Oryzias latipes: one gene and its partners. The protein of the gene in region 1 purifies or fractionates together with the protein of each later gene. This does not show direct contact. Links are inferred from orthologs where the notes say so. Each region holds a gene or a part of one and is shown in the gene's direction. Other genes may lie near its edges.

Region 1 (5,948 bases):
GAGGGCCTGATTGCTGAGTTCCTGGTGTTTCCTCTCTCAATGCAGAGCTTGTTCATCGTGATGTGGTGTGATAAGATTTTGAAACTGATTGGACTGACTTGTTTTTCTTCTTGACGTGGTTCGTCAAATCGCACGTAGACATTCCTTGGTCTGTCACAGCTTTGGGAATCTCGGAACTCATTTCATTCATTTGTATGTCAGTCTGCACTCAGCAGCTTCATTGCTGTGAATTTATGCTTTGAGATGTAGACTGGAGGTCAGTCTGCAATGAAATCTCACACCAAAGTTGTTCATGGCATGTTGGATGAAAGTGTTTGTCCCACAGTAGAAAAAATCTGTGTAGCATGGAAAGGTTTTCCTTTCAAATGTATTTTTTTCATTACATGAATAAAAAAAAGCAAATTAGATATATTAGAGACAGAAAAAAATATTTAAAGTTACAATAAACCCAAGTTAGTCTGAAGAAGAGCTGTATTTTTCCAATCATTGGGGTAATGCAGCATTTTAAGACGTTCCAGACATCTTTTATCCTGAAAGGAAATCAGTGAGGCATCAACTTGATCACTTTAATCAGTTAATATGTTTCAGGTATAAAAATGAGGAAAGAACTGAGTTTCCTGACCTAAACAAATCTTTGGAAACCTTATTATTACAGATAATTGTGTTACTTCTTTTTTAACCCTTGTTTTTAACCCTTAGATGACTCCACCCTTACTTTGATGTGTTATTCCTACCATGACAAATGTGGATAAAGGTGGAAAGATTTCATGTAATCCATGGACACCAGTGAGGTTCACAAATCATTGAAGAAAAAAGGTTCAGCACACTGTCTAGTGGGTCTAGATGACCCAACTCCCAATGGTAAAGTGCGTAGGATAGCACCAGGGTTACAGTACGAAATGATCCCTTCTACAAAATTGATTTCCATCACTGTGTCTGTGAACAAAAATATTTTTAGATCCCACTTCTGAAGAGATGCGATACCCAGAAAAGTCAACCATTCAGAAGACATGTGGCGTCAGTTGGGGCATCTTGTTACAGACGTGGGGATACTTGAGAGAGGAGCCACAACGATCAGTTTACATTACACTTGAGCCTTCTGAGACAATTAAAAGGTTCTTGCTTTTTACAGAAATATATTTGATGGTTGTGAAACAACACAGAGAAAAAAGTTGCAAAATGTTTTTTATTCATTTTTCTTTTAAAATTTAGACCAAATTTGATCTTCTTCCAATAATATCTGCGGTGGCGGCGTGGTGCAGAGGAAGAGCAGCTGATCTGAAGATTGTAGGTTCGTTTCCATCCGGCCCACATGTGTGGAAGTGTCCTTGGGCAAGACGCTGATCCCCACACTGCTCCTGGTGGTTACAGGTTGGCGCCATTGTGTGTGCATGGGTGAATGTGAATAAAGCACTATGGGCCTTAAGGGAAGGTAGAAAAGCACTATATAAGTATTTACCAGGAATGCAAAGATTCACTTTCTCCATGACTTGGTTCAATTTTTGGGTCACGTTTTTGTTTCCATTTCATATTTATTTTGAGTATTACAAAACAACAATAAAGCTAAAAAATATCTGAAAATCCCTCTTTTAAATTAGCTAATTAGCAAGAAAGAATGAAGAAAAATCTTTCAGTTGGCTTATACCAAAAACCATAAATACCATAAATAACACATCCTTCTAAAAGATAATGGCATGCTGTAGGGAAGCAAAGATGGCCGGAAAAGGGTCTGGCAGCTCCGTGACCCTGAAGTGGATTTTAGAAGAGGAATGAATGAATGAATGAATGAATGAATGAATGAATGAATGAATGAATGAATGAATGTGGCATCCCTACCAATTACTGAGGACTCTAGAAGTATCAAGAATCACTGTAATGTTAACTTCATGAATTGTTTACAGTGAAACTCTGGCGTTTATTTTGTAAGCAATATTTGACCTAACATGCGTGACGTTAAAAGGATAAAATGTTAACATTATATAAGTTGAAAAAATGTCACCCTAAATTAACCTCAAATACTTTTATTTTACATTTTGATGTCTTTTTGTATTGTTGGAATTGTCTTTTTGAACAATAGGGAAAAAAATACAAGCGAAAAAAAATACAAGCAGACAGTATAAAAACCCACAACAAAAAAATCTATATCACTTTTAAAAAGTGTAGCCTACACTGTGGCCCTTCAGCAGCAAACAGACATTTTAAAGTATTTAATGCTTTGGGAAAATATTAATGAGTTGATCCTCACAATTGTTTTATGGATCTGTCTGTTCATAAGACAATAAACGTCGTGTAAACTTGACCATTAACTGCTTGATATAGTGTTTTCAGGTTTTTCTTTATCTGTTATCATCCAGTTTCAGCATATCAGGACACAAAATTAACTGTAAACTGATTTTATATCATAGCACTGATAATATTCATTTGTAACGCAGCTGAATAACTGACCTAAGAGGGAAACGCCTGTACTTCCCAGGTTTCTGGTGTTTACTATAAACGCTGAGTTTTCGTCTCTCATCTCCTGAGCACGCGCTGCACTCTCGTATGCATGCGCTGTCCACGCGCTGACTCTGCGCTCTGATTGGCTAAAGCCGAGACAAACCTAGAGTTTCCGCCAATAGGAGCGCTGTGCATGCGCTGAGCCACACCGCGGAGGCGGTTCATCACGCGGGGCTCACGGAAAGAAAGAAAAATACAGCCGCCTCTGTTGTTTACAGCCTCAGACGACGAAAGCTTCAGTCGCACGAGCAAGCATTGTTCACAGCCTCAGCAGCCATGGTAGCCATGACGAAGAGACTGAAAACTTTTCAGATAGTCTTATCGGACCCGAGCAAGACTTTTTACTGCGGCGGGGAGAAGGTGTGCGGCCGCGTGGAGGTGGAGGTGAACGAGTTGACGCGGGTGTCTGCGGTGAAAGTCGTGGCTCTGGGCTGTGCCAAGGTGGAGTACGCTAAGGGGAAGCAGCGATGCCGACAGGAGGCCGAGTACCTGAGGCACGAGGAGGTCCTGAGCCTGCACGACCAGCCCAAAGGTAAGCCTCGTGCGCACTGGAACTGTTGGAAGTGCTGGAATTATTTTTGTCCTAGCTAAATAACACAATTACACGTTAAAAATATTAAGTAGTTAAATTATTTTTTCTTCCACTTTATAAATCTAAAGCTGTTTTTGTGGTTAAAGTGAGCTGCTTCTTTTTTTTTTAACTCTAGTCTATTTTAAAGTGAGTTTAATAAATTTGGATTCATGGGTGAAATATGACGCAGTGAGAATTTACAGGGGTTCATCAGTGAGGCAGGAATCAGAAACATCCGTGCTTGAACTTTGTCCCAGTTGGCTCTGTTTACATCATGTCCCACCTTCATTTTCATTTCCCACAGAGTTGCCCCCCCCCCCCCCCCCCTTACTCATGGTTTTTCTCCCCCCTCCCCAGATGCAGATGGCTCTGTCGTGCTGAGGCCTGGGAATAAATATGAGTACACTTTTGGATTCGACCTCCCCGACCAAGGGTAAGCCCCCTTTTTTTTAGTTCCTCATTCAGTCATGAAATGATTTGTGGTTCTAATCCTGTTTGTGTTTGCTCATAGGCAGCTGGTATCCTCTTACAAGGGGAAGTTTGGCTATGTTCAGTACTATGTGAAGGCTAAATTGGAGAGGCCGCTGCAGCCCACGCTTGAGTGCAAGAAATGCTTCGAGGTGGAGGAACCTCTGGATGTCAACACCCCAGATTTACTTGTGAGTAATCAGAACATCCATGGGTGTAGATGTTGGGATTCGCCGCCGTGCTAACCTTCTTTTTACCTCTTTTTGCTCTTCAGTCTCCCACAGGTGGCTCCAAGGAAAAGAAAGTAACCTGCATGTTCATTCCCGACGGCCAAGTGTCACTAAACGCCAAAATCGACAGGCGTGGTTTCTGTGAAGGCGAGGACATCTGCATCAACGCCAAGTTCGAGAACACCTGCTCACGCATCGTGGTTCCCAAAGCTGCCATCATTGCCAAACACACATATCAGGCCAACGGCCGCACCAAGGTCTTCAGGCAGAAGCTGTCATCAGTGCGTGGAAACCACATCATCTCTGGCATGTGTGACGCCTGGCAGGGGAAGACCATCAGGGTACCAAAGATCAAGCCATCCATGCTGAGCTGTAACATCATCCGTGTGGAGTATGCACTAATGGTGAGCCACCGATGGTGAAGTGTGCATGCCTGCGGAGCACCTGTGGCTCCTCCTGAGATAAACACGTGTTGATGGTCTGTTGTTTTCTTCTTCCAGATTTACGTCCACATTCCCGGCAGTGAGAAAGTGATCCTGGAGCTGCCTCTGGTCATCGGGACAGCCGGTCTCGGCAGCCGCAGCAACAGTGTGAGCAGCCAGGAGGGCTCCGTAAGCAACGCCTCCCAGAGCTGGGTGTCCCTGCAGATGCCCTCCAATCCCCCCAGCTACTCTGACATGACGCGGGACGTTCGGCTCGACCAGCCCCTCACGCCGCTGCTGTGTGACTGCGACGACATAGATGGCAGCCCCATTTTCATGAGGTCGCCCAGCTTCCAGTTCCCATCACCGCCTGTGTTTGCCGAGGTAAGGCGATCAACAGGGTTCTGCGCATTTCTGGCAGCTGCTGGGACGGTTCTGAAAGTTCTGGTTTTGCTTCGTGTTTTGCAGACCGAAGAAGAGTACAACGGAAACAACGTTTGCATGCTGCCAGTCTGCTGAATGCTGCAGCTGCGGGTCCAGTTCTCCAAGACCAATCATTGAATGCACTTCAACAAGAAGCTGGAGGTCCAAACTGGAGAGAACCTGCGATGATGATGTTTCTGCATATGCCTGTGCTTCATCCAGAGTTTCCCCCTGGTGTTCGGTTGGTCCTGAAGGTCTCCGTCTGCTGTTCCTCCCGTCTAAAGGCTCCATGGAGTAACCGGAGTCCGTTGGTGTTGCTGCTTCCTGTCGAACACTTTTTTTTTTTTACTCTTTGAGAAGGAGCCGTGTGTGAGTCAGGCTGTGACTCCTGGCTGGTTTGTTCATTCCAGTTATATCCAGTTTCTTCCAAAGAGGAGCTGTGGCTCTCAGCAGGCTCATCAGTTTGTTGGGAACAAACGTTTAGGATGATAAAGGAGCCTCCTTATTTCCACAGAGCATTATCTCAGCATGTTGTGTATGACTCCTTTTTCTTTTTTTTTTTGAATCGCACTTTTTAAAGTTATGCTCTGTTACTGCAAACAAACGTTTTTGGCTGTGTGTTACAAATGTAAAAAAATGTTTTTTTAATTTAAAAAGAAAAAAAGAGAAATCCCAAATTTGATTATATTCTGACTTTAATTCTTTTCAGCAGGTGTGATGCTGAAGCACCTTACAGAACTGCTGTATCTGTTCTGCAGTTGTCTCAGACAACATTTCAGTCAAATCTGCCCTCTTTCTTCACTTTAAAAGTTTGAAAAGTGTTTTAAGACTGAGTTGTAAGAAAGTATTTTTGTATGAACCCCATGGGTCAAATTTTATATAATAAACGCTTGAAAAGAAAAACCTGTCGATTGTTTCATCCATTAAACATGAACCCAACCTGATCTGGATGTCCCTGAAAACGGCATTGCAAAAGACAGAAAATTCCTTTTTTGCTGATAATAAAATCAAAAACCTCCCTTTTTAATTTGAAATGTTTCATTTTTTTTTAGTATTACCAATTATTACTTGACTTGGTTGTTTTGTGCTTCTTGTTTATGAAACTGCATTCTGGAGAGCAATGAAACTCAACCCAGACGCCCTTATCTCTAGCTCATAGTTGTGAAAAGACGTCAGCATGACGGAGCACAGAACAGCCCTCTGGCTGCACACCAGTCCACTTAATCACAGCTGGAACCTTAGCCAACTATTTCCTTCAAACACCTTATTTTTCTAGTTTACCTTTATTCTACATAGATTCCTTTACCCTTGTGCTATCTTAGATGACCCCATCCTTAC
Region 2 (5,864 bases), on another chromosome or scaffold:
TCAAAATGTAGATGCATTTGTTGACTCAAAATTAAAAAGAAAAAGCTATTTGCCAAGCCAACTTCTATTTGTAATTATGCTACAGAAATGCTTCCATACAAACGCACTATAAAGTGCACTATGTAGTGAGTGGTGAAAGAATTCAGACACAGCCAGTATCTCACAATGATTGAACGTTGGGCTTCTTCTTCTTAGGCCGAAGAGTGAGTACTCAGAGATCGAGGAGGATGAAGTCCAGGCCCCCTATGACCCCAACGGAAAACCAGAAAGGTGAGCAAGAAACCTTCCTTAAAATGATTTTAGTATGCATGGTCCAGTGAACACCAACAACTATTTATTAAAATTGATATGATTTTTCTTTGTGGCATGGAGTGCCTTGTATCTCATAATGTGATCCCAAATGTGAGGATTTTTAACTCTTAGAATGTTATTCACAAAAGAACCCTACATAAACACATACATACATAAACAGTATCTTTTTTGAGCTCCAGCAGTCCCAGCTGTGACTGAGGAGGGATTTTCTAATCAACTCCTGCAGCTCCGCAGAAAATATGTCCTAGAAAACAACACAGGTTTTTAGATTTTGACTAAAAATGACAAACGTGACTAAAACACCACTGGGAACGCTTTGAAAATGGATCAAAAGATGTTCAGAGTGGGTTTGAAGTTTTAACGGTAAATTGGTGAACTCTGAGAAATCCCTGAACATGTGAACACATCTCATTTAATTGATTTTCTTTAATCCAGGTTTTATTACAACGTGGAGTCGTGCGGCTCTCTGCGACCCGAGACGGTGGTCATGTCAGCATTGGCCGTCCTAAAGAAGAAACTGAGCGACCTGCAGACGCAACTGAGCCATGAGATCCAGAGTGATGTTCTCACCATTAACTGAAGGCGTTCTCTTAGGTTTAGACCCGCATTAGTGCAGCTTTGGCTGAGCTCAGTCAGTCCTTCCTGCTTTCTGCTCTCAGCTCTGTGCTGTGTTTAATGTCTGTATTCATGTCTTTGAACCTGTGGGGGAATTGAAAAGCAGCTGAAAATCCACTTCCTGTTTCAGGAAAAACCCTCAAATGTTAAGAAAATGGTGCACAGACTCACATTAATATCTGTTTTGTTGTTGTCCCAATTTTAAATAAATATGTTTTAAAGACTTTTGTTCTTTCAAATCTGTTTTGTTTCAGTTAAAAACAAAAACAAAGTGAACAACTTTAACATCGAGCAAGAAATTTAAGACTTTAGAAGAACTACTGTTGAAGCTAAAAAATTAATTTTTAATTGGATAAGAAACTAAAAATGTCTCCTATCTAAATGTAATATGTTCTTTACAGCTAAAAAGTTTAATCGTTTTTTAGATAAAAACTTCACACTTGATCCAATTACTTTTTTAGCTGAAACATACTTGGACATTTAGTAAAATACTTCTTCAAATAATGTTTTGAATCAAAGTGTTTCTATCCTAAATGTTCACAATAAGTTTTTGTTTTTTTTGAAGTATTTTTAAAAATGTATTTTAACAAAGACACTGATTTTAAAAAAAAACACCACTTGTTAATGCAATTTTTTAGAGCACAAAATCACTTTTCTACTTTAATTAGAAAATTTGCAGCAGAATGACTTTATTTAATGAAAGTCGGTGGAGCCTGTTTATTGCAGGGATGATGGTTTGTATTAACATTAGTTCAGCTTGTTTATATAAAAGATAAAATATTCACAATCTGTCAGCAGAGGCTATTCTAAGTTGTTAAAGCAAAATTGAATTTATTCTGTGGCAAATCAAAGTATTTTTTTTAGGTTGGTTAGTTTTTAGTTTTGATTTGGTTCAGGATCCATTGAGAGTTTAATGTCAAAAACAAGGAAAAACGTGTGATATCATCAGTCTGTTTGTATCATTAAACTGTCCCTGTGATCGTGTGGCTGTGCAAAAGACCGGCAACACATCTAGTGTGTACCCCTCCCCTTGCCCAGCAGTGGCTGGAACAGGCTCCACTTAATACCCCAAAAGATTAAGTGGGTTCTGAAGGTGGAATCTTTTAAAATGAACTTTATCGACAACTATTGCACATACAATACATCATACAAAACAGGAAACTCCATACCTAGTTTCCATACCAGATTTCTACATTGCACGATTTTAGTCAACCATTTTATGCTTTACCATATGGGGGGGGGGGGGGGGGATTTGTTTTAGTTAAGTAACTTTATTGAATTTTCCAGGAGATTGAAATACAGAAAAAAACAATAGTACTTAAAAAAAAAGAAAATAAAAGGCAAATTTTCTCACATTTTAAATGAAACCAACCCCAACTCAACTTTTTTATTAGTTTAGGATTCCATACTTTTATGCACAGTACCATTTCTTAATGAAAAACGCTGTTTTTTTGTTTGTATATTTACATTTGTGTATGTCACATTTAGCTAAGTCAGTTAGGGGACAATATTCGTAGAGCAAATGCCCCCTCCTCCTCCCTCTGACGTCACTGGATCACGTGGCTTTATCAGTGATGCGGAAATGAAAGTTCACTAGCTACAGCGGCGGAGTACAGCTGAAAAAGGTACAAGAACTTTGCCATAAATGCTTCTGTTTTCTTGTGTCAGTACACCGAGCTGTGTCTAATATTAAGCGGGTTGCTATAGATCTTAATCTGTTTTCACTCTGGTGTATGAAATAGCTATTTTTTCCATGTCCTTTGGTAAAATCCAGCTAACAAGCTTGCGGGCTAACAGTTACCTTCTCACGACAAATGAGCCGTTCCAAACGGAAGTGAAGACAGTTCCCCTTCAAATTAAGCATTAGGGGTGAGAAAGGATTTAAGAAACACATTTTAATTAAAAAAATCAAAGTTTTATTCAAAATGTAGGGTTTATTAAATTACTAGCTTGTGTGTTCTTGAAGTGTTAAAACAAATTAAATTGGAACAAGAAACGCTTAATGCGTAGTAATGTAGTTATGTACTGAAATAACCATAATAATTAAGTCATGTCGTTCTCTTTCTTGTATTTTTATTTTCATATTTTAATAGAAAATACTAAATTATCTTTTTTGGGGGAATTAGAGTAAATAAAGGACTTTTTCTTGGTAAGCTTTTAATTTAAAAATCCTCAACGGAAGTTTGCGTGTTGTCTGCCCAGGATTGACGGTAATACTTTCATATGCCTCAATCATCTGCCTTGTTTGTATTTTGTTAGCAGCAGTCACTCAGGGGTACCATGCAGTGACGATAAATCGGTTGAGCAGAAATGGTTCCGTCTTCATCCGTTTAGGTGAAGCTTTGCCGGGGTCCGGAGGCGCCATTGATCCCCCTGGCCGAACCTTTCCGAGGTTAATTCGCAAGGTTGACGGGAATGCGAGCTTTTGTTGTGTTAGCTCCCCTCGGATTGGCTCTGACTGAGACAGAAGTGGTTGTCAAAACACACAGTTGATTTCTGATTAGGACCAACTTTTATCAAGACTCGCCTTGTCTGAGGCTTCTGACTGTGTGCAGAGGAAATGCAGAGTTTATAGTTATTTACTCTGCAAACAATGACGGAGCATCATCAAGGACGTAGTTGCTTGCAGCAGGGTTAATGCCTGCTGTGCTGCAGATTTGTTCGCACTAATAAACGCTGCAGACTGCATCCCTGCATGACTTTGCTCAAGGTGATGTTGATGAGACTTGGCTGCAGCCTCTGACAGGGAAAACAAAACACTTTCAGGTATATGCTTTTATTTTGTAATGTTTTTTTTAATGACAGGTGGAATCCAATCACAACATAATGACAAACTGTTAGATGAGGTGATTAAAAGGTGGTTCAGGGCCACTGGTTTATAAAATAGTTGCACATTGAAAGACAATAAAACACATTTTTATTAGACTTAGACACTTGTGAATATAAAACAGAACATTTAAAAAGTTTTCTAAATTAGAGATTTTTGTCTATAGTCAAAACAAAATGTAATTTATTTATTTACATTGTTGTTTGTGCAGTTTGCACTCAACCTAACAATAATGCATTTTGGTGGTGAGCTGTGATGTTTGCAGGACACTTGGTCCTTGGCTTTGTCCTCCAGGCGTCACATCTCTGCAGACTTTGCACATTAAATGAGTGAAAAATGCAGGAAGCGTTGGCTCTAAAGGATGAGGCTGCACCCCATGATTTGTTCAAACCTCGATTTTTGGGTCACAGTTTTGTTTTTGGTTTAATTTGTTTTTTACAAAACTATGACAAAAAACCTAAAAATTCTTCTTCTTTTCAGTGCCTTCTGGTCCGTGCAGAAGGCACTTTTAGTTTCATTGTACGTATGACAATAAAGACTTATCTATCAATTTATAAGTAACAATGAAGAAAACAACCTTTCAGTTGGCTTACACTGAGCCTGAAAACAATAAAAAAAGAATCATTCTTAAATTTAGCACGATGATTGAGACTTTCAACGTAAGCATACCTGTATGCAGCAGGGATGCAATGATTCACTTTTTGTGTAGTGTTGTGGTCATTTGTGCGACTGCTTGTGTTGCAGAGCTGGGATGTCATGGCAGCTGCCAGCGTGACCAGACCTGGCAGTGCTCAGAGTACAGAAAAGTCTCAGTTGATCCTGAAAGGTCAGTCTTTTTTATTTTTGATCACCTCTTCATAGACTTTGGGTGATTATTATTAGTATTTTTTTGTAAAACAATATTTCAAATTAAAGTGAAGCCAGATTTATGTTTAAATGTTCATTTGTGGTTTTTAAAGATGGGAGCAGATAATAATTGAAGCTTTATAGAATTTTCCAGTTAATTATTATTATTATTATTATTATTATTATTATTATTATTATTAAGTTTCATATAAATGTCTTCCTTGATCTATTTGGGCAAATATGTGAAGCATACGACAAAAACCTGGAATGTGTCAAAGTTAGACTGAAACACTTGCAGATTAATATTTTCTGCTTTTTTTTTGGAAAAACAACAAACAAAATTTTTACCAGAACATATTATGTTATGGTTACAACTTTTTGGTGGCATATTTGATCAGATAGCCTTAAAAAAATGTAAATTGGTTCATTTTACAAATAATTTTCATGTTTTCTCAAATACATTTTTCATGTTTCTCAGCTAATCTATGTGCTGTAAAAAAAAAATCCAGCAATTATATTAAAAAAAAAAACCCAGAATGTTTCAATTCTTATGCTGCAGCTTAAGATGATTTATTTGATGCCCAATTTTTAACTAATATATAATTGCTTGAGTTTTAGCTGTTTATAAAGATAAGTGAAGTTTAAACTTTCTGGTTTATCAGCTGATGCCTCTTTATTGCTGCATTCTGCTCTATTGTATTCGCTGCGGGACGTCCCTCAAGTCATTTTACAGTTCAACAGTTTTCTGGTCTGTTTTGCAAATACAGCAAACTCTTTTTGCAGTGTATTTTATACTGGTTTTACAGTCGAGTTTGAAGCACCATATGGTTAGATTGATCAATACATCTGTACTTTAGATGTCATTTCATAATAAGGTGGGGTTTTTTTGTACAAAAAAATAGTTTAAAAGCCTATTTTCTCATTTGAATTTGTCAAAAGGCTTTTATAACTCTTTAGAATAAACCTCCGAAATTGTAGGGCTGTGAATCCACAGTTTTTCTGTCCATCCTCAAAGTTTCTCTGGCTAGAAAATGTTTTACAAACTGATTTTAAGTGGACATCTTAAAACGCATTCAGATGAACATGTTTACATTCCTGTTCTGCTTCTCCACCATGCTAGCAGACAGACGCATGACGTCACATCATTGATCACCAGCTTTTTAAAATCTTTTAAATTTCATATTAATTATTCAGATTGTTGACTATTTAGTTTTTCAGAACATATTTGTAAAGCTAACCTATTTTTTCCCCCCTCAAAAACACT
Region 3 (5,197 bases), on another chromosome or scaffold:
ATTTTCTCTTTGACCTCAAAACCTGTTTTATATGTTTCAGTTTAGTAAAAACCCTCCTGCATGGGCTACCTATAGTTAACATTTCTTTTTATTATTTTCAGAGGTCCATCAGAATGGCGAGGTTGTCCATGAAAACGGAGACTCCTCCTCATCCTCTTCAAGGGCTGCCAACAGGTAAACTCTTTTTGGACTGTATCTAAAGGGAAAAACGCCAGGAACTTCTAAAAAAACAAAAAGTTCTGTGGACAATTGAAGTCATAAATTACTTTCAAAATCAACATGAGAGAACCAGATTGTAGTGTTGACGAGTTTTATTAGCAGACTTTTCTCTATTTTGTTTTTAGTGGCACATTTTTTTATAATACAAGAGCATAACAAAAGATGAAGAATTGTCAAGCAAAAAATAATTCATTCATCCATCTGCCACATTTTGACTTGAAGTTACTTTCATTTAACCAAAATATTCAACCTCTTTTTGATTGTAAATGAGACAGGTGTCTTTCAGAAGGGAACAAGACAATGGACAAATGACAATATTGTGGAAAAGTTTGAGATATTTTTTAGAGCTGCACGGTGGCACTATTGCCTCACAGCAAGAACGCCCCCAGTTCACGTCCCAGCTGGGGGACCTGAAACAGAACATCAATGGGGGACCCCCCTGTGTGGAGTTTCTATGTTCTCCCCGTGCATGCGGGGGTTTTTCTCCGGGGGCTCCAGCTTCCTCCCACCGTCCAAAAACAGGTGGAACCTAGGAATTACAGTAATTTCCGGATTATAAACTGCTACTCTTGTTCAACGCTTTTTTATGCATTTAAAAAAAAAAAATTAATGCATTTTTTCTAAACGGCCGCCAGTTGCACTCGAGGAGAAAAGGTAAGAGTGAGACAGGTGCAATACGGTATATGTGTCGAGGAAGACGGAAGTTTAGTGTAACTTCCCGCTTTGTGAATGAATAGCATGAATATCATGGAAAATGCAAGAAGAAATGCTGATTCTTCTTCTGTTACATAAGTTTAACAGGGAAGAACCTTTTTTTTAAAGTGCTGTCATCACACCAATTACTTAAACAGAACGTTAAGAGGAATTGTAGGTTATTATTTTAAACTTTCCCTTAAAAAGTAAAAAGAACAAGTGCTCCATTTTTAAATGTCCAAGATGAAGTAATCTCTTTTTCTTCTTTTAAATCTAATTATCCATCCAGCAGTTCTTGTGTAACAGTAAAAGCATCAGTTCTGTCCAGTAATGCATTAACCAATCCCGTCTGTTTAACAGAAATACATGACATAATCCTTTTTTATAAAACATATTTTACATTTGTGAAAGCAAGTGTGATTCGAAAGGACTAGTCTGTCTTTTTTTTAACTGAGCTGAAACCTGATTTATTCTTTAGTCTGTGTGTTATGATGTTTCTTAATATGTCAAAGACTTTGTTTTTTTGTACAACATGTAAGTTACAAGTATTGTGCTGATTGATTGATGTGAGCGAAACAGGAAGTCAGAGAAGGAAACAATGTGGGTGGTGTGGTGCAGTTAAACAAAAACATTTATGGTGCTGATCACAACTATCCAGCTTGTTTCATTTTGTAAATACATTTTCTCCAAACTTGATTCAAGTCATTTCCTTCTCTCAAGGTCAGCAGGACCCCTAGATTAGCAGTGCTGCTTGGCATTAACCTGCTTAGACATTGCTTAGAGCGTTTTAATGCCATTATACAAAGTTTCCTACTCCCTATTGTGTTATAAAGTCTCTGGAGGAATGTGCCAAAGCTCTTTCTCGCTGTAGAGTGGAAACTACCCATTAAAAGAAACGGGAAAATATCCATCCATCTTCAGAACCTGTAGAATCCCTTTTGGGGGTCACAGTGTTGCTGGAGCCTATCCCAGCTACTGTTGGGCAGAGGCAGGGTACACCCTTAACAGGTTGTCAGTCTCTAGCAGGGCCACACAACCACACTCACATCTAGGGACAATTTAGAATCATTATTTACCTATGAAGCATGTTTTTGGACTGTGGGAAGAAGTCAACACGTGCACAGGCAAACATGCAAATTCCACACAGAAAGGACCCAGCAGGGATTCAAACCACACCAGGATCTTCTCGCTGTGAGGCGAAGATGGGAACACTCCATAAAAAGCATCTGAAGACCAGCTTTCTGATGTGTTTGGTTTTAAGCAAACTTGCAGAGATTAGGATATTTGTTTTGTTGTGTGCTGCCAACAAGGATTCGAAGTCCCACTCTGATCATATTTGGATCTATTTGCTGGTTTTAGTCAAAAAACTTGTCGTTTTCTGCAGAGTTTGAGAAATTCATTACTGATTTGTAGATGGGAAAATTGGCGCAAGGTTGAGACTGCTTTTATTTCCCATCATCCCTTTGTTTGCAGTCTTTCCTGCTAGTTTACAGTCCCTCACAACCCCAACCTGTCGTTAGCGGTGCAACAAAAATGGCGAGTAAAGTTGGGGCTAACCAGCCGTACAGTTTTGAGCCAGAAGACTCTGCTTTAAATAAGTACAGCAGCCTTTATATTTAGGCTTTGGTGCTGAATTTAGAAATGTTTTTTATTGAACTGCTTAAATTGTTCATGTCTTGAAAAATAATATTGCTTTAAAGCTTATTGCAAATTATTATAATTTTTAGTTTGCAAAAAGCTAAAGATTTGGTTGTTTAACTGATTGATCGTTGATTCCCTGCTGTAGGTCTTGGCTTAGCTGAGCTTTAGTTCTATGGCTGGTTTTGGTTTGGTCGTTCTGCAGGTTTGTCTCTGACATTACCTGAAAAGCTACAGCTCACAAAGAAAGCCTTTCAGTTGTGCTCATTACGCCGCTGATATCTCGTTTCGTCATTGCATTTCATTTACAATCTCCTTCTTGTCTTCTCTTTCTTCTCCCTCAAGCACAATGAATGGTTCAGATTTGGACCCGAGGTCAGGTTCCTGTTCAGCCTCCAGTGGCGCTGAAGGTCAGGTGCCTTCCAGCTCCTGTAGCCCAGCTCGGGATCATGCGGTCAACGGAGAGACAACCCTAAACTCCACTCCAGTCCACCAGCCATTCGACGGCGAGACACAAAATAGAATAGGTGAGTTTGTCTTCTATGTTCTCAATTCTAAAGTCTGTTGATCTTTTCTCTGAAAAGAATTCCTAAAAATGTCATTTTGTTCACATTTATGCTCCCTAAACAAATCTTTATTGTGTTCAAGTTTGAAATGACAAAAAGAGTAGTTTTAGGTAGGGATGTCCCGATCCGATCACGTGATCAGAAACTGATCCCAATCACGTAGTTTCAGACTCGATTGAAATCAGATGATTGTTTTGGTAAACACACTTTTTAACGAGAATGGCTCTCTGTGCTGCAGATAAAGAGACAGCTGTCAAGGGGTCTACAAAGTGCAAACTCTGGGGAAAAGTGATTTGAAAAAAATAAAACAAACAAAACAAAAAATCTCTGCATTGGTGACTGCTAGTAATGTGCGGTTAACCGCGACACCGCGCCCCCTGCTGGTTCATCAAAAATCCCACACCATCACAGCTCTACTTGACAATGTTCTTTTTTTTAAATTAACTATGAAAATAACAGTTTACACTGATAGTTCTCAAAGTCCAAGTTTTATTTTTAATCCTCAGAAAAGTTGTTATATCTGAAGTACGTCAATCATGGTGGCATTACACCAACATATCCAGCTATTGGACAATACAATACTTTCTATTTTTAAGATAAAAAGTTTATTGTTCTGAATGTTGATTTTGTTTTCATTCTCTTCTTATTAAGCAGCCATTGAGGCTGAGAAGAATATTTTACCACAGACTTCTTCATTTTTCCTAAGTGTACATGTGATGCAACAGTTGCACATGTTTTTGATGTCAAAAAGTCAGATGATGCGAACAAATAAAAACCGTCATTGTCCTGTGTTTGCAGTAAATGGGGAGTCCAGCGAGGCTGCTGCCAGGCAAACGTCCTCAGCAAGAACGGATGTGCCCCCCACAGGCGGCCACGAGGACGGCGCTGGAGAGGCCGACTCTCCTGCCGCCCCGAACAGCACGTCGCCGCCTCGGACAACTTCCGCGTCTCCTGTAGCCTCCTCTGCCGGTGCTAAACCTGCAGACACCACCGCCGCTGCTTCCACCACATTGGCCTATGCAACCCAAGGGACCAGCACCGCCACAACACCCTCCTGTTCGTCCTCTTCCTCCCCGCCCACGGCAGAAGTAAATGCTTCCGGAGACGGGGGCGGCGGCGGCAGCAGCAGCGGCAATGCAACGACAACCTCAGACGGGGTCAAGCCCAGGCAGCCGCTCTCTAATGCTGCATCATCTGATCCTCTACCACCAGGGTAAGAAAAAAACTTGATTAAAAGCTAGAACCGCCTGATAACACACGGTTTGATCCTGTGATGTTTATTCAGGTGTTGTCAGCATCTTTAAGCTCTATTGAGAACATGCAGTGGTACAGATTTTGTTCAAGCACTTCACATACACTGAAATGATAGCTATTACTGCAGTAAACTTAAAAGCCCTCTTTTCAAATGTTACATGGCAAATTCTAATTTGTAGGGTTAAACCACCTCATTTTCTCTATGTTTTCTATTTCGGCAGTCAAATCCAACTTCTGTAACATAAACATCAATAACATTTGCTATTGTTTCTCTGGGGGGTTTTCGTGTACGGTACTTTATTGACGGTCCCTGCCTGCCTCTGCAGCTTCACATCAAGGCAAACTCCGGCTCTGCATCACCACAGACAAAAAAATAAACTGTTCATAATGGTCAATAGAACTACATCCAGCGTTTTACTCTGTAATGTTTGTGGATAAAGTCAGAAGAACAGAACAGACTGGAGATACCGTGACGAGCACATAAACAAAACCGATCATATCTATGAACTTGACACATTGTGGCTGTTAGACTTCTAACATTAGCTCATCTTATAGTTTCCGTGAGTAAATGAGGTTAGAGCCCAGCCTGTATGTAGATTTTGAAAATATTAGAAAAAAATCAAAGAAAAGATTTGAACAAAGATCACCTTTTTTAATACACAAAAATATATATTTCCAATTTAATACCATCCACTTCCATATGTTTCTTTTAATTACTGGATTTAATAGTTTTTTTTCCAGCAGATCAAAAGATTTTCTGATGTAAGCATAATGATTTCTGTCGCTTAGTTGGGAGCAGAGAAAAGACCCCCATGGGAGAACGTACT
Region 4 (5,919 bases), on another chromosome or scaffold:
GTAAGGTCAGAATTTGGCATCAACAACATGAAAGCATGGATCCATCTTCCTTGTATTAATGGTTCAGGCTGGTGGTGGTGGTGTCATGGTGTGGGGGATTTTTTCTTGGTACACCTTAGTACCAATTGATCATGTTACATCACTGCATCCTACCCGAGTATTGTTGCTGACCATGTCCATCCCTTTCTGACCACAGTGTACCATTTTCTAATGGCTACTTCCAGCAGGACAGGGCTCCATGTCATAAAGCTGGAATCATCTCAGACTGGTTTCTAGAACATGACAATGAGTTCTCTGGACTCAAATGGCCTCCACACTCACCAGATCTCAACCCAATAGAGAACCTATGGGATGTGTTGGAACGGCAGATTGGCATCATGGATGTGCGGCCGACAAATCTGCAGCAACTGTGTGATGTTGTCATGTCAATATGGACCAATGTGGAATGTTTCCAGAACCTTGTTGAATTTATTCCACCAAGGATTAAAACAGTTCTGAAGGCAAAAGCGGGTCCAACCCGGTACTGACAAGGACCTACCCCCTACTGGCCCCTCCACTCCATCCTACAAGCCCCCCCCCCCCCCCCCCCCTCTCACCCTCACCCGCAAAGCCATCAGGATTGCAAGGGACCCCTCACACCCATCCCAGAGACACTTCAACCTGCTGCCAGGAGGCTGCAAAGTCTGCAGGCCAGAACCAGCAGACTAAAAGACAGTTTCCTCCATCAGGCAATAAGGACACTCAACTCCCTCCCTGCCCTCCCCCCTCTGGCCCCTCCACTCCATCCTACAAGCTCACATTGAAAACTTCACACCATTTCAGAACACCATCATCACCAAAGACTGCCATCAATGACTCATCCACTTACTGTTCTCAGCACTGATGTCACTTTAAACTGCCACTTCAACCATGCCACTGTTCTTTAGCACTGTTTAGACTACTGTTATTCCTCTTACTATTACTATTACTGTCTTTTTATCTATTTTTTACGTCGTTTATTTATTATTTTATATGCTGCTTGCACTGTGGGGTGAGAGAAAATCAATTTCATCTGTGCTGTATGTCTTATGGATGCAGCATACTTGACAATAAAGCTGACTTTGACTTTCAGTCTATCTGCCTTGGTGGATCAGTGGGTGTTAACATGTTTTAATGTTTTGAGAAGGTGTGAGATTAAACATTTTTTTATTACAATTTAAAATTTATCCCTTTATTTTCCATCAATTTGACAAAATACACCAACCTAAGACAGTGGAAAAAGTAGAATAATCCTCAAGCACCAAGGATGCGCTTTCTCACATGTCTGTATTATTACAATTCTCCACCAGAGGGCACCACAATGTAGTTTTCGCTTGTTTGTCCTCATCGGCCCCCTCAGACCCTGCGTACAAATAGTTGTATTCTGTTGAGACTTCGGGAAAATTGATGACGTTACAATATAATTGTAAATAAATATAAATATTTCCCAATTTATTATATATGATATGATATTATTAGTTTTCATGAAGGGAAATTAATGAAATTTACCAAATATAATTTTTTTGTGCCACTTCTATTTTCAAAAATTTTGAGTCAATGTTTATTACAATTGATTCTAAATGTTTTTGTACCAGTTCCACCATAGATGGCTAATTGTTTCTGCGCAGGTCGCCCTCATTTTGCCTTCAGGGGCAAATGACTGGTTTTCTCTGCATCATCTGCAGCCTCTGTGGCGCGGGAAGGTCCATGTAGAGCTGGGAATAGGATTAACAATTTTAACGTATCTTATCATCTGTTGATTAGCAGGATGAATTCTATGCAGAAGTTATTTTTATTTTTTAACTTTATTGTAAACGTCAATCTCAGTACAAAACAATTACATATAAATGATATAAAATAAAACAAAAAAAAAAATAAAGTAGGAAAAAACTACAAAAGCACACAGAGTATGGAGGATTGATAAAACATTGCAGAATTGACAGTTGAAATAATTATATGTTGGGAGCAAATTTAAAGACATTTTATAACTTTTGGGTTATTTGAAAAATTAACTAATTCAGTATAATTTGACTTCCACAAGGACATTTGTTAAAAAGTAAAATGGCATATTGTTATGTTGGTGGAAGACAAACAATTTCCAAATTTAAAAAAAGGAGAGAGCAAATTAGTAACAAAAGAAAATGGCCAAAAAGATTGAGTAAAGGGGGCAATGCCAAGACAGATGATTATTTCAATATTGGGTTTACATTTTATTAAATGGGTTTTGGCAGGGTGAATCTATGTAAACTTGATATGTCTTTTTTCTCATTGGAAATAGAATTAGGTAAAAAGCAGGTCTTTTTCCAAGATAGTGTTTCCAATACGTGTCAAAGTTACCCTGTTTTTTCTGAAATACCGCTCTAATGTCTCTGTTCTTTGCAAAAGTTAATATTATTCAGATGAGGAGGAGAAATGCGTCACCAGTCCGCCTGGAAGGAGTCCGGTCTGCAGCGCCCCCTGCAGGCCACCGAAACCGAAAGTTTCCGGAGGTGTTTGCGCACAGAACTCAGTCGCAGTTGATGACGATCCGGAAAAAGAAAGTTGGAAGCAACAGCGGGTCGAGGATTCGGTCCGGATCTACATGGACCTTCCCGCGCCACAGAGGCTGCAGATGATGCAGAGAAAACCTGTCATTTGCCCCTGAAGGTAAAATGAGGGCGACCTGCGCAGTCATTGTCACCTGATACCTGCGCAGGGAGGGAAGCGACTGGAGGCTGCAGAGCAGAGGCCTCAATGACGGGGGGAGAAATAGGAACTTCGGCTTATGTGAGTATGCAGGTCAAGAGTTTATTAGTGTCTTTGATTTTCCAAGATAAGAAAATTAAATAACTTTTTTTTTATATGACAGTAATAATTAATATAATAATCCAACTACTGTGTCAATATTATCAAGTCTTGTCTGCACAGGAACTTTACAGCTCCAGACATGCGCACAAGAAAACTTTGTGAACAGGTAGAAACAGGCAAATTACAGCTTTGGACTGACGTGACGCACATTCTTCAGACAGGAGTGAAGGAGAGTCTCAGAGGAAATTACTGATCGGACTGTTAATGATTGTGATTGATTGAGAAATGATCAATCAGGAAGTTACAGTCAGAGGTCACGTGGGTTTCTTATCAGGGAAGGAGAAAGCCGCTTTAAATTAGACAGTGGAACAAATAGTGTTTATTAGAAAATATGTGCAGTATTTTGTCAGAAGAGCAATTCCTCAAACGGATCTCGAACTGTTGTTTGACTCTGTGAATATTTGATTGACTGCCATAGAGATTAAGAAACAAACATCCATCAATAAAATCTGTGATTGGCGGGATGTGAGTCACACCAGCTGTTAAAGATTGGGTTTATTTTTTATGGCTTCAGGTTCAGGTTATGACTGAGGATGAGTGGTTCAAGGAGGAAGAGGAAGAGGGACACATCAGAGATTCCACCATCTCGCAGTTTGCCCCGATCCAAACCTGAACCCTCACAATCAAAGTAAGACGCTTACTAAAAAAAAGGGAGATCTTTGAACAGAAGGAGGAAAAGATGATCAAAAACAGTTTGTTTTCCTGTAAGAAACCTTCTGCAATCTGCCTAATGATCACATTGTCTTTTTAGTCTGAAAACTATCCCTTCAAGTGAAACTCCATCACATTCATGCAGAGAAATGCCCTCTTTTACCCAGGTTTTACCCTGTAATCTTCTGTTTTTATTTGCAGACATCCACAGAAACTTTGTTCTTCATCATCCAGCTCTCTGTCCCTAAAGAGTGACTGGTCCAAAGAGGAAAACCCGCATTTCAGTGCTGAACCTGAACCATCACCCTCAAAGTGAGACTTTTTTTTTGTGAGACAAAATAGGAAATACTTTTTTTTTTTTTTACCAAGCGAGATCTTTGTGCAAAGGAGGAAAAGATGAACTTAAAACAGTTATTTTCCTATAAAAAGCCTTCTATATTCCTACAACCTGGTGTGTTATGTTGGTTCTCAGGTCATCATCCCCACTGTAGTTCTCTTAATGAGTGGTATCTATGTTTACAGTGGAAGTTCTCCTCACCTTGCTGAACTGGTTATTCAGGGAATCTCACAGGTGTTTTTTAGAGAGGAAAACTGATGAATTGACGGCACGCTGCGCCGTTTAAAAGAAAAAACAACACCTTGAACCTTTATCCAATTGGTATAGTCCTAAAGAGGGGTGTTCCTGTTGTTTCGGAGGTCTGCTTTTATTCATAAAGCACATTAATTGTGGTTCCTTTAAGCAGTTCGAGCGCTAAGGTGATTCTGTACATGATTTAGGACTAAAGCTTAAAATTACAGAATTCTGTGATTTTTTTTTTTTTTTGTGTGGAAAGTTTATATGATTCAGAATATTTTTTTGTAATCCTAAATTACAATTAAGGGTGATAAATTCTAGGATTTTATCTATTTAAGATGCCTAATTAAGGATCGCACGATCTTTTTATTTTGAGGAATGTTCTTTACTTGGAACGCCATCACATCAATGCAGAAAATTCTTTTTATGACCTGCAGACGGCTGTGATCTTCTGTTTTTATTTACAGACATCCACAGAAACCCGATTCTTCATCGTCCAGCTCTCTGTCCCTGAAGAGTGACTGGTCCAAAGAGGAAAACCCGAATTTCAGTGCCGAACCGGGTCGCCCAAATTCAAAGTAAGAGGCCGTTTCATCCAAGATTATCAGATTAGCTTTATCAGAGGTTTCATGTCTGCTTTACTGTAGCTGAATGTGAACAGGAAAGCCCTGATTATCAACACAGATTTTCAAAGATGCCTTTCAGTGAGATAGAAAGACTAAATGTTTTTAAGGAGATGCAGAAAACCTGTCATTGTAAAACCTTTCTGTCAGGATGTGTAATCTAGGGAATAGTTATGAACTTGTTGTGGATGTCTGGAGTCTTGATCTGACTTCCTTTCTTGATCTCTGTCAGCTTCTGTTTGAGCTGTTTCCTCCTGTTCACAGACAGAGAGATTCTTCTGGGGAGAGGAAGCCCTCCAGCTGTTGGTTTTGTCTGAACGTCCTGGAGGAGCCGGTCTGCAGCAGCTGTGGACACGGCTTGTGCAGACAGTGCATCGCCTCCAACCAGGCCGCTCCATCCAGAGCCTCCTCCTGTTCACGATGTGAAAGAAGATCCAGAGCGGAAGCTGGACCGCAGACAGCCGGTCAGAGCAGAAGAACTCAGAGTAAAACCTTTGTGACGTGGGTTTGGACCAAAATGAGACCATTTTCTGTCTCTCTGCTTCTGTTTTTCCCCTCGTAGAAGGTTTTCGTCTCCAGAAGCAGTTTTTTAAACATCGGGTCAGACAGAGGAAGAGAAGCGAGCATGTGGCTGAAGGAAGTGAAGAAGAAGCAGCAGGAGGAGGAGGAGGAATGCTTCTCAACGACATCTACACTGAGCTTTACATCACTGAGGGGCTGAGGGACAAGGTGCACACCCAACACGAGGTGAGGCAGCTGGAGACGGCCTCCAAGAACAAAGAAACACGCAAGGCTTCAATCAGGTGCCACGACATCTTCAAAGCTTTCCAGAACCAGGATGGACCCGTCCGAGTGGTTCTGACGAGCGGCATTGCTGGCATTGGAAAAACCTTCCTGGTGCAGAAGTTCACTCTGGACTGGGCCGAGGGTCTGGAGAACCAAGACGTCATTTCTGTGGTTCCTCTTTCCCTCAGGGAGCTAAACTTGGTCAGAGATGAGCAGTACAGTCTTCACAGTCTGATCCAGCTTTTCCATCCAGCGTTCCAGAAGATCCCAGCAGAGCAGCTGGATGTCAATAAACTTCTGTTCATCTTTGATGGCCTGGATGAAAGCAGACTTTCTCTGGACTTCCACAACAGTCAGGTGGTGTCTGATGTCACCCAGAAGTCCTCAGTCAGCGTTCTTCTGACAAACCTCATCCAGGGA

What was found.
Region 2: the proteins of txnip (region 1) and wwp2 purify together in Homo sapiens (affinity purification with mass spectrometry; 3 studies listed by BioGRID and IntAct, with this or other methods). This does not show direct contact. The link is inferred for Oryzias latipes from reciprocal best matches to the Homo sapiens genes TXNIP and WWP2.
Region 3: the proteins of txnip (region 1) and wwp1 purify together in Homo sapiens (affinity purification with mass spectrometry; 4 studies listed by BioGRID and IntAct, counting the BioPlex papers as one, with this or other methods). This does not show direct contact. The link is inferred for Oryzias latipes from reciprocal best matches to the Homo sapiens genes TXNIP and WWP1.
Region 4: the proteins of txnip (region 1) and NACHT, LRR and PYD domains-containing protein 12 purify together in Homo sapiens (affinity purification with western blotting, with the first as the bait; 4 studies listed by BioGRID). This does not show direct contact. The link is inferred for Oryzias latipes from reciprocal best matches to the Homo sapiens genes TXNIP and NLRP3.

Annotation. Positions count from the first base shown.
Region 1 is NC_019869.2:21,667,588-21,673,535, forward strand, and holds txnip (thioredoxin-interacting protein), read left to right. Parts: upstream 1-2,654; 5' UTR 2,655-2,772; coding exon 2,773-3,028; intron 3,029-3,424; coding exon 3,425-3,500; intron 3,501-3,578; coding exon 3,579-3,726; intron 3,727-3,809; coding exon 3,810-4,169; intron 4,170-4,265; coding exon 4,266-4,571; intron 4,572-4,655; coding exon 4,656-4,706; 3' UTR 4,707-5,513; downstream 5,514-5,948. UniProt on the Homo sapiens protein: May act as an oxidative stress mediator by inhibiting thioredoxin activity or by limiting its bioavailability.
Region 2 is NC_019864.2:27,458,161-27,464,024, forward strand, and holds the start of wwp2 (NEDD4-like E3 ubiquitin-protein ligase WWP2), read left to right. Parts: upstream 1-2,452; 5' UTR 2,453-2,552; intron 2,553-4,498; 5' UTR 4,499-4,510; coding exon 4,511-4,580; intron 4,581-5,864. Other genes in the region: polr2c (DNA-directed RNA polymerase II subunit RPB3), read left to right, coding at 196-270, 748-892. UniProt on the Homo sapiens protein: E3 ubiquitin-protein ligase which accepts ubiquitin from an E2 ubiquitin-conjugating enzyme in the form of a thioester and then directly transfers the ubiquitin to targeted substrates.
Region 3 is NC_019878.2:10,288,017-10,293,213, reverse strand, and holds part of wwp1 (NEDD4-like E3 ubiquitin-protein ligase WWP1), read left to right. Parts: intron 1-101; coding exon 102-174; intron 175-2,895; coding exon 2,896-3,077; intron 3,078-3,914; coding exon 3,915-4,329; intron 4,330-5,159; coding exon 5,160-5,197. UniProt on the Homo sapiens protein: E3 ubiquitin-protein ligase which accepts ubiquitin from an E2 ubiquitin-conjugating enzyme in the form of a thioester and then directly transfers the ubiquitin to targeted substrates.
Region 4 is NC_019866.2:2,347,165-2,353,083, reverse strand, and holds the start of NACHT, LRR and PYD domains-containing protein 12, read left to right. Parts: upstream 1-2,495; 5' UTR 2,496-2,784; intron 2,785-3,379; 5' UTR 3,380-3,398; coding exon 3,399-3,493; intron 3,494-3,717; coding exon 3,718-3,828; intron 3,829-4,557; coding exon 4,558-4,668; intron 4,669-4,977; coding exon 4,978-5,177; intron 5,178-5,275; coding exon 5,276-5,919. UniProt on the Homo sapiens protein: Sensor component of the NLRP3 inflammasome, which mediates inflammasome activation in response to defects in membrane integrity, leading to secretion of inflammatory cytokines IL1B and IL18 and pyroptosis.